2 linked regions of the Arabidopsis thaliana genome follow. The protein of the gene in region 1 purifies or fractionates together with the protein of each later gene. This does not show direct contact. Each region holds a gene or a part of one and is shown on either strand. Other genes may lie near its edges.

What was found.
Region 2: the proteins of UVI4 (region 1) and EMB2771 purify together in Arabidopsis thaliana (affinity purification with mass spectrometry, with the first as the bait; one large-scale study listed by BioGRID). This does not show direct contact.

The regions. Positions count from the first base shown.
Region 1 is NC_003071.7:17,601,372-17,605,520, reverse strand, and holds UVI4 (uv-b-insensitive 4), read left to right. Parts: upstream 1-1,815; 5' UTR 1,816-2,013; intron 2,014-2,063; exon of another isoform or gene 2,064-2,224; 5' UTR 2,225-2,237; coding exon 2,238-2,627; intron 2,628-2,891; coding exon 2,892-3,281; 3' UTR 3,282-3,649; downstream 3,650-4,149. Other genes in the region: AT2G42270 (U5 small nuclear ribonucleoprotein helicase), read right to left, coding at 1-1,191; CYP712A1 (cytochrome P450, family 712, subfamily A, polypeptide 1), read left to right, coding at 3,812-4,149. UniProt on the Arabidopsis thaliana protein: Negative regulator of the anaphase-promoting complex/cyclosome (APC/C) ubiquitin ligase required for proper mitotic progression and cell fate determination; inhibits premature cell differentiation.
Region 2 is NC_003076.8:1,638,048-1,643,350, reverse strand, and holds the start of EMB2771 (E3 ubiquitin ligase), read right to left. Parts: upstream 2,801-5,303; 5' UTR 2,150-2,800; intron 2,041-2,149; 5' UTR 1,900-2,040; coding exon 1,691-1,899; intron 1,455-1,690; coding exon 1,391-1,454; intron 1,148-1,390; coding exon 1,063-1,147; intron 633-1,062; coding exon 346-632; intron 164-345; coding exon 58-163; intron 1-57. Other genes in the region: AT5G05550 (sequence-specific DNA binding transcription factor), read left to right, coding at 2,801-3,527, 3,800-3,822; SDN2 (small RNA degrading nuclease 2), read right to left, coding at 4,592-4,834, 4,910-5,014, 5,101-5,208, 5,289-5,303.

The sequences.
Region 1 (4,149 bases):
TTCTTTGATATCTTTCTCCCGTTTCTCCTCCCTTTCTTTGGCTGTTGCTCTTTTGGCATGCAACTCCTTAACAATTGCTGCCAACTCTGAACCTAACCCCAACATCTCCTCCTCAATTTGATTCCTCTCTTCCTGGTCTCTTCCCCTAGCCAAACGGGTGCACCACACAACTTTAAGACGGTTTTGCAACAGAAATTTAACAAGGCTGAACTTTTCAAACTGAAGGTGCTCAAGCAGCTTGATCTCAACATCCCTATCATTACCCTCAGCAAGTATCTTAAGCAGCTCTTCTGCGAGTTCCTGGCACTCTTGTGCATCAATCTTCTGCTCATATTCTTGAGATATCTTTCTCTGAAGCCAATAAGCATCAATATCCAGAACATTAAGACTCGTATCCTCCTTTGCCTGTCTTGCATCCTCGCCGTTTATTGCCACACCCACCTGGACAACTCCAGTTTTGTTAAGCTCAACAACATCTTCATCCTCCTCATCTTTTTCATCCTGGACCATATCAAGATCACTCTCATCATCATCCTCTTCACATTCAAGGGCAACACCAATATCATAATCAAGTCCTCCATCCTCACTAGCTTTACCACTTAAAGAATCACCACCCTCTTCATAGTCTGTAATCAGTTTTCCAATCGAAACAAACTGACTGAAAACCTGATCAGTAATAACGTTTAGTAGTTTCTCAATCTCTACCTTCTTTTCATGGTTTTTGACGGATTCATTCTTAAGAACTGCCAAAATCTCATCAGCCGCACCGCAAACAATGTCCAAAGGCTGCCCACCCAATTGCTGCTGGATAAGACCAAGCATAATCTCAAAAGCAACCCTTGTTTCCTTAGTCTTCGGCTGATAAACACCATCCTCCGTATCATTAAGTACACTCACCTCCCTAAGACGAACTCTTTTGCTCTCACGAGCAGACACCAAATCATCACAACGTTCCTTCTTCTTCTTAGATTTATTAAGCCGCTCATCTAACTCATGAGGCCTTCCCCTAACGACACGATCTCCAAAGGATTTCGGATCAATCCTACCCCTGAGACTCTCCGGTTCACCAGAAGATTCATGCGTATCACGACGACGCTCATCACTGTTAAGAACAAGACTGGAATTGACTTTGTACCCATACTGCTTCAACCTGGCTTGCTCCTCCGCACCACCACCACCCAAATTCGTCATCACCAAATCGGAAAAACAAACCCCAAATTCCAAGAATTAAATCAATGAAACAAAACAAAATTCGGAACGAAAAACTCTTCTATTACCTCTCTCCCGTTCTCCGTAATCGTCGTCTTAAGAATTTGATCGAGTCGATGAGTTTTTTTTTTTTTTCGTTCAACAGTCTTATATATACACCCTAAACAAGTCTTAAACCGACAATACATTGTCGGCCACAAATTCCAAACCCACGAAGGCCTGTCCGGAAGCCGACTAAAATTATGGAATTGTCCGGTTCAATCCGTTTTAACTATAATTAGAAGAAAACATTAATTAGAGTTGGTTCTTGATGAGTGTTTTCGTATAATCAGAGCAAGTTATCGTATCATTAGACCGTACCAACTAGCCAATCCGGTTTTCTGGTATTAGTAAAAAGCAGCGGTTGGATCCTATGACAATTAACGGTGAGGATTCGATCTTGAAAGCAATGCGTACGTAAATAGAATTGGGCCACAAGCCCAGTTTTATTCAGAAGGGCAAAATTGAAATCTGACAAAGAATTTGACGAATTGTGACAATGTGCGCTTTGAAAAAAAACGAAATTTATCCCGCGTGAGATGAAAAATTCAAAATATTTCACACAGGTGAAACCACTTTGACACGTGCGAGCTCGAAATTTTTCATTTTCAATTACAAAACCCGCCTAGAAAATGGTCTAAATTTTGTTTGCCAGATCGTCTCTCTCTCAAAAGCTTTTCTCTCTTTTTCTCCTTTGTCCCCTCCACTTTACCGTTCACGAAGCCATTCCGAGCTATCACGAAGGAATCTATTGAAGATTCATAGGTAAATCCATGGTTTGATTTGTTCAAGTAGGTTCTTTGTGATGTGACGGAGATTTGTTGCGAAAACGAAGAGTTGATCTCTTTTTCTTGTTGTTTATGAGGTTTCGAGAAAATCTGATTAACAATGGAGAACAAGACTGAGTTCTTGGGTTTTAATGTTGCGATTTCGATTTTGGGTGTGTTCTAATGGCATAGTTGTTTGATTTCTTCAGCGCTCAATCACAAATGCCAGAAGCACGAGATCGAATAGAGAGGCAAGTTGATTACCCAGCCGCATTTCTCAATAGACGCTCGCATGGTATTTTACTTGACGAACCAGCAACACAGCACAATTTGTTTGGGTCTCCGGTTCAGAGAGTGCCATCGGAAGCTACAGGAGGACTTGGGTCAATTGGTCAAGGATCTATGACGGGAAGAGGTGGGCTTGTGAGGGGTAATTTCGGTATTCGGCGGACTGGTGGTGGTAGAAGAGGTCAAATTCAATTTAGATCGCCACAGGGACGAGAGAACATGAGCTTGGGTGTTACAAGGCGTGGAAGGGCTCGTGCTTCAAATTCTGTCTTACCTTCTTGGTATCCAAGAACGCCCCTCCGTGATATTTCTGCCGTTGTTAGGGTTAGTTCACTAAACCTAGTCTCATTTTGGATTTGTCTGCTTATTCTTAGATTTAACTGGAGTTTTTTTCATTGATATATAGCTAATTTGTGATCTGTTTATATCTGGTTTGTGATTTGCATATTGGTTCAGAATCTGCTGCTTATAAGCTAGATTAGTCTTCTGTAACAGGCTTGCTTAGCCTCTTTGTTAACTATATCATAAGTCATAACCTGTTACCAAAAGGCTTGCTTAGTCTGGCTATTTACAAACTCTTATATGCAGGCTATTGAGAGAAGGAGAGCTCGTATGGGAGAAGGTGTTGGCCGAGATATTGAGACCCCAACTCCACAACAACTTGGGGTTCTTGATTCTCTAGTACCGTTGTCAGGTGCTCATCTCGAGCACGACTATTCTATGGTTACTCCCGGTCCATCTATTGGATTCAAGCGTCCTTGGCCACCCTCAACTGCTAAAGTCCATCAGATTTTGCTCGACATCACAAGAGAAAACACAGGGGAAGAAGATGCCCTCACTCCAGAGAAGAAGCTCCTCAACTCTATTGATAAAGTGGAGAAGGTTGTGATGGAAGAGATTCAGAAAATGAAGAGCACTCCTAGTGCTAAAAGAGCAGAAAGGGAGAAAAGAGTTAGGACGCTAATGTCGATGCGATGATGATTCATCATCCTCTGGTGATTCACTAGAAAGAGGTAATCATCTCTGTGATGATATATAGTAGGGAGATTCTATCATTTTTCTAATGATAAAAAAGAAGAAGAAATTCATCTTCTGATGATATATCATATGGGAGATAACTGTTAGATAGTTCACGGGTTTATGTTGGATCCCTTTTACTTTTAGGCTTTTTGTATGATGAGGATGTCTTCTTGATTCAGGATATTGTAGTTAAACAGTTGTACAGAAGTTTGGTTTGTTGGTAGAAATTGCAGATGTTCTTGTATGTGTGTATCTGTAATTGTCACAATCTAGGAAGTGCCTTCGAATAATAAAAACTTCTAATCATTTTTTTTTTTTAATTCCCATCAAACAATTTTCATATATGTTACGTCACACATTTTATATTTGGTAAAAGGTCACATCTGTTGTTTTGTTTTCTTTACAATGAGCATCTAATAAACAAGATTCGTCTGTGTCTGGATATAAATACAAGCATACTTCAAAAATTGTATCAATACCTGCCTGCAATGGATTTAAAACTAAACACTAAACTAATTATTCTCATCACATCCTTAGCTTTTCCTTTCATGCTTTATGCTCTCTTCAAATGGTTCTTGAAAGAGCAAGGTTCATTGGCTGCTACGAAGCTGCCACAGAGCCCTCCAGCTTTACCATTCATTGGCCACCTTCATTTGATAGGCAAAGTATTGCCTGTCTCATTCCAAAGTTTAGCTCACAAGTATGGCCCACTCATGGAGATACGTCTCGGTGCTTCTAAGTGCGTTGTGGTCTCAAGCTCTTCGGTGGCGAGAGAGATTTTCAAGGAGCAAGAGCTTAATTTCTCCTCGAGACCTGAGTTTGGTTC
Region 2 (5,303 bases), on another chromosome or scaffold:
CATAAAAACTTAAAAAAGCATGAGCCATCAGCCTGACCAGAGAAGAAACTTACAAACCTTTGTTATACGACGTCATAAGAGGTAGACGGTCACTTGTCCAAATTGTCCTCTCATCGTAGTCCTTCATTATGGTCAACTTCCCCCTCTCTTCAACGTAGGTTGGCTGAAAAGTAAGTAGATGAGTTACCAGATGAAAAGTATAACCAAATATTGCATCATCAAAAAACATTTATGTGCTGTTGAGACAACAAGAAAGAAATAATATAGGTCCCGATATAAAGAAAGACTGGCTTGAAGCAGAAATAAAGTTACAAGGAATATCTACAAAATGATGAGTTCATTTACCCCAGGTTCCTCTAGTGGATCTCTTAGAATCAGATGGGAAGACATGCATGGCATATCTCTTTTGCTAATAAGGTCATGCGCGACTGGGGAATGGAAGTTTTGTGGTGAACTATTCCCAACTTCTTTTCTTTGGCGCAGCATCTCACGAGAACCAAGGATGGGGCTAACAGGAGAAAATGGAACATGTGAGGGTGGATTCACTTCACCAGCTTGCTCAAGAAGTAGACCACATGGTAGAGGCCATATTGATTTGACAGTACGCATTAGTGGAACAGATACAACTTCGCCTGTTGCCAACAATTGCCAAAAATCAGAAAGTAATTACCTCAGCTAGTGTTACCTCAGAAAAGAGACAAACAGTACTGATTAATCAGATCTAGTCAACAAGTAAAAAGGAATACGCAATATATTTCCAAGAGCAGATGAAAGGAAACTAGAAATAGAACGGCTAAAAGTTAATCAATCAACTTGAACGTTCAAAAAGCTATCAATGCACAGAAAGCTACCTGAAATCTATTCTTCATAAACCGATTCCATAAATTTTCATTTGTAATTACACAATTTCAAATGAATCATAAAGAAAGGGACCAACTATGTGCACCAGTATGAGATTGTCCTTTCGTTAGAAGCAAACCATATAAGAATCCATTAGGGTATAATGGAAAAAGTCGGATAGTGCAGAAATATTATAGTTCAGAGGTATCTAGCCACAATTACCTGATGTGTTGTAGATTGTTAAGCAAGCAATTTGTAATACACAAAGAAAAGCTTCTGTCCCTCGACCAAGGTTGCTCCAGCATGCCTATGACATAAAAAAGCTATGAGTTAAAACAGTCTTTCTGACGCATCAAATAGATGGAAAATATTTTTGTCTATGTTTTTGTTAATTCATGTGGAACAGATAACGTATCCACCAATACAACAGAAAAGCATTGTTAAGACATAGCTAGATTTGTTTAATCAAGGATTGTCACAGATAAGAATCCATAGATTTTCAAACGGGAAAACTTGAGAGACAAAGAGCCAAAATTCTAATGGAAATCACCTTAATGACGGCAGAAGACAAGGTAAAACGCTTGAGGACCCGCGAACCGCTTGTCCAGATTATGCTATCATCAAATCAAAATTTCATCGTCAGGTACAGAAACGAACCGCAATTCAGCTAGATACGTTATACCAATATCCAATGAAATTAGCTTCTACTAAAGCATAACCCTTACGGACATTACTGGAAGAAAGAGGCAAACTTGAAGAATAGGAAAACACATTCGAAATTGAAGTGATAACAAATTCATGAAGTGGTGCAGAGTTATAGAGTAATCAGCAAATTGTATACATTTCTTACCAGTTGTCTCGGATGAAGAGCTCGTGCTCTCTCTGCCGCGAGAAGTTGGCATCATTGCCATCAGCATCATCTCGCTCGCCAGTGAGCTCAGGATCGAAGAGGAAATACTGATAGGAATCATCCGGTGATTTACCATCAGTAGCTTCGGCGATTAGACCGAAAGGTTTAAACTTTCCGAGGACGGTAAGTTGGCGAACCCCTGGAGGCATTTTTTCTCCGAAGCCAACAGGCAATGGAGATTGGTGAAGTTTAATTTACACTCTCCCGCTCTTTCCAAGTTGTCTTAGCGCTTAAACCCTAGTCTTTTCTATTTTCAAAATTTTATTTGAGATTCTCATTTCTCTTTAAACCTGCGGGTCGAAATCGTTTTATGAAAAGTAAGCGAGACAGAGGAAGATAACATTGAAGAAGAAGAAGAAGAAGAAGAAGAAGAAGTGAGTAGGAAGAATTGTCACTTACATTAGAAACCGGATAGAGAGGTTTCAAACGAGTTCCGATGATTGTCGAGGCTCTAAACTGAACGGAATGAAGAAAGTGAGGTTCAAAAAAGTATCGAAAGTCGGAAGATTTCGCTTAGTGAAAGAGAGATGTTCTCAGAGGAATTTAATCAAACACTTTCTGTGCTAGATGCAATGAAATCTGGGACGAAGTCTGAGCTTATGAAAGACAAAATTTAAACATTGGAAAGAAGTAAAACTTGAAGGCTTAAAATGAAATAAAACTAAAATATTTCCAACTATTTGCTATTGACCCAATCTGTCACTTTTAGAGGTTTATTTATGTAATCTTTTTAGTTTGAGGTTTGTTTTGGGATAAATGAAAAATTATGAGGTTTTTTTTAACAGTTTAATCATAAGTACTAACGAGACCAAAGAGATTGGTTCGGTCTTAACGGATAATCGCCGTTGGGACCAAAACGCTCCAATACGGTCAGTGACGTCACCGCCGGTCATCAATGTCAGGCCACACTTATCCTCTTCTCTCCCATTCCGGTTTCCTCCCACCAAAAAAAAAAAACTTCTTTTTATGTTTTGTTTGTTTCTATTCCGATCTTATCCTACGCCGTCACTCTCCTCCCGGTGCGCACATTAGCAACACTACTCCCGACGAATGGAGACGACGACGCCGCAGTCAAAATCAAGTGTGTCCCACCGACCGCCGTTGGGAAGAGAAGACTGGTGGAGTGAGGAAGCGACGGCGACGCTGGTAGAAGCCTGGGGCAATCGTTACGTCAAGCTGAACCACGGAAATCTCCGGCAGAATGACTGGAAAGACGTCGCCGACGCCGTTAACTCTAGACACGGTGATAACAGCCGTAAGAAGACCGACTTACAGTGTAAGAACCGGGTCGATACTTTGAAGAAGAAGTACAAAACAGAGAAAGCTAAACTCTCGCCGTCGACTTGGCGTTTCTATAACCGCCTCGATGTTCTAATCGGTCCCGTTGTGAAGAAATCGGCTGGCGGAGTTGTCAAATCAGCGCCTTTTAAGAATCATCTGAATCCAACTGGATCGAACTCTACTGGAAGCTCTCTTGAAGATGATGATGAGGATGATGATGAGGTTGGTGATTGGGAATTCGTTGCTAGGAAGCATCCTCGTGTGGAAGAGGTAGATCTGAGTGAAGGATCAACGTGTAGGGAACTAGCTACGGCGATTCTCAAGTTTGGAGAAGTTTACGAGAGAATTGAAGGGAAGAAGCAACAGATGATGATTGAGTTGGAGAAGCAGAGAATGGAAGTGACAAAGGAGGTAGAGTTAAAACGAATGAACATGTTGATGGAGATGCAGTTAGAGATTGAGAAATCAAAGCACCGGAAACGCGCAAGTGCTTCAGGTAAGAAGAACTCACATTAGGTTTTCAAGTTACTAGTGGTGGCTTAGACTTTACATGGTTGTTACTCTTTCTCTTTAAACCGCATAATGTATCCGTGGAAGGACCTTAGATTTCAACAACAATGTTATACCTATGCTGTTAGTTGTTGTAAGCATGGATGAGGCTGGTTAGTAATTGACTTATTGTTGATATGTGAAAGTCATGTGCCTCTCTGCTTTTGAAGAATACCAATTTTGTCAATATACAATTCAGTTGAGCTTCTGTGCTTCCAGTGGTCTGGCAAGGAAAAGTCTAGATAGCATTCTCTTACTTCTTTAGCTTCTCCAGCTTCGTGGAATGTTGAACTGGATTAGGAGGAGTAGACTTCCAGGTTTGAAATTGAGAAAAAAGATCAATGTTCATAGTAGTCGAACATTCTTCATATGGTAATGAGTTCACTGAAGTTTGATCTGCCTTTATTGTACAGGTAAGCAATTGTAGAATTAGATTGGTGGAGGAAATACCATGGTGAAGCAAAGAGGAGTTACTTGAATCTGAAGCTCATTGAAATTGGAGGATCCTGTTACTTGTTTTAATCTGTAGGATGGAAGTTAGAGAACTCTTTAGGATGTCTTTGTTTGTTTTCTTCTACTTTCTAGCGTGTTAGTGTACATTGGTGTACTGGAGCAAATCTTCCTTAACTCTTTAGTAGCTGACAAGTATGATCTACATTTGTGTTAGTGTCCACGTATAATGATGGCTTGTGTATCCAAACTACAGCTTCTGATGCTTAACAGTTACATGTTTATGCTTCTTCTTGGGCTTTTTCATGTCTAAATTTTTATCATAACCACTTATCATAAGATATATATAATACATCCACAAGTATGCAGTTGCATCCGAGTATCTTAAATCAATAGTCTCTGAGTTCTTTAACCTTTAAATTGGCAAAATACTATCCAAGGTTCATTAAGGGCATCAACGATGACCAAACACAAACTAGAGTCACAGTGAAAGCAATTTTCAAGAATCCGGACCAATTATCATCTTATCATTTTGCTTTGAGTTCTTGATTTTCCTTGATATTATCTTCTTCGTTTGACATTGCTTCTCTGTTTTCGTCTGGACAATGGTTTACACCTGCGTCTATCTCTGGTCCCTTTAGAATGATTTTCTCTCTTCCGTTTCTTAGAACTCGCATTATTCTCCTCTGCTATGACTTCCCCAACCAAATCATCTTCGACCATTTTACGAACGAGAACATATAATCTAGGTTCTGATGAACTCGGCTCTAGAAAGATCTGTTTTTGTGACAACCCCCTCGAATCCTGTAAGAGAAATACATAGAAACTTGTTATATCACCACCATCTGTGAAATAACCAAAGATATGATGCTAAATTACCTTTCCAAAGTCTCCAGCAATGTTTTCAAATGCTTGATTTGCTTCTTCTGGACTTTTAAAAACAACAATCGCGCTATAGTAGTGACGGTCTTGTTTTTTCGACGGCTGCCAAAAGAAAATCAAGAAACAACGAGAGCCTCATAAAATACAGAATTTGGATAAGAATATGTATATGTTGAGTGGATTCATACCTTAACTTCATGTGGGATATCCCTGGAAACGACTCCATTTAACTCTTCATATGGAACATTGCAAGGGATTCTATGAAGGTAGAGCTTTGACTTCTCAGCTTCCAACATCTATATGGAATTATGCAGACAAAACGTTATGCTTTTATAAGTTTAGATTGAACTAATGAAGTTTGTGCAATCCAACTTACCTCTTTAGATAGTGG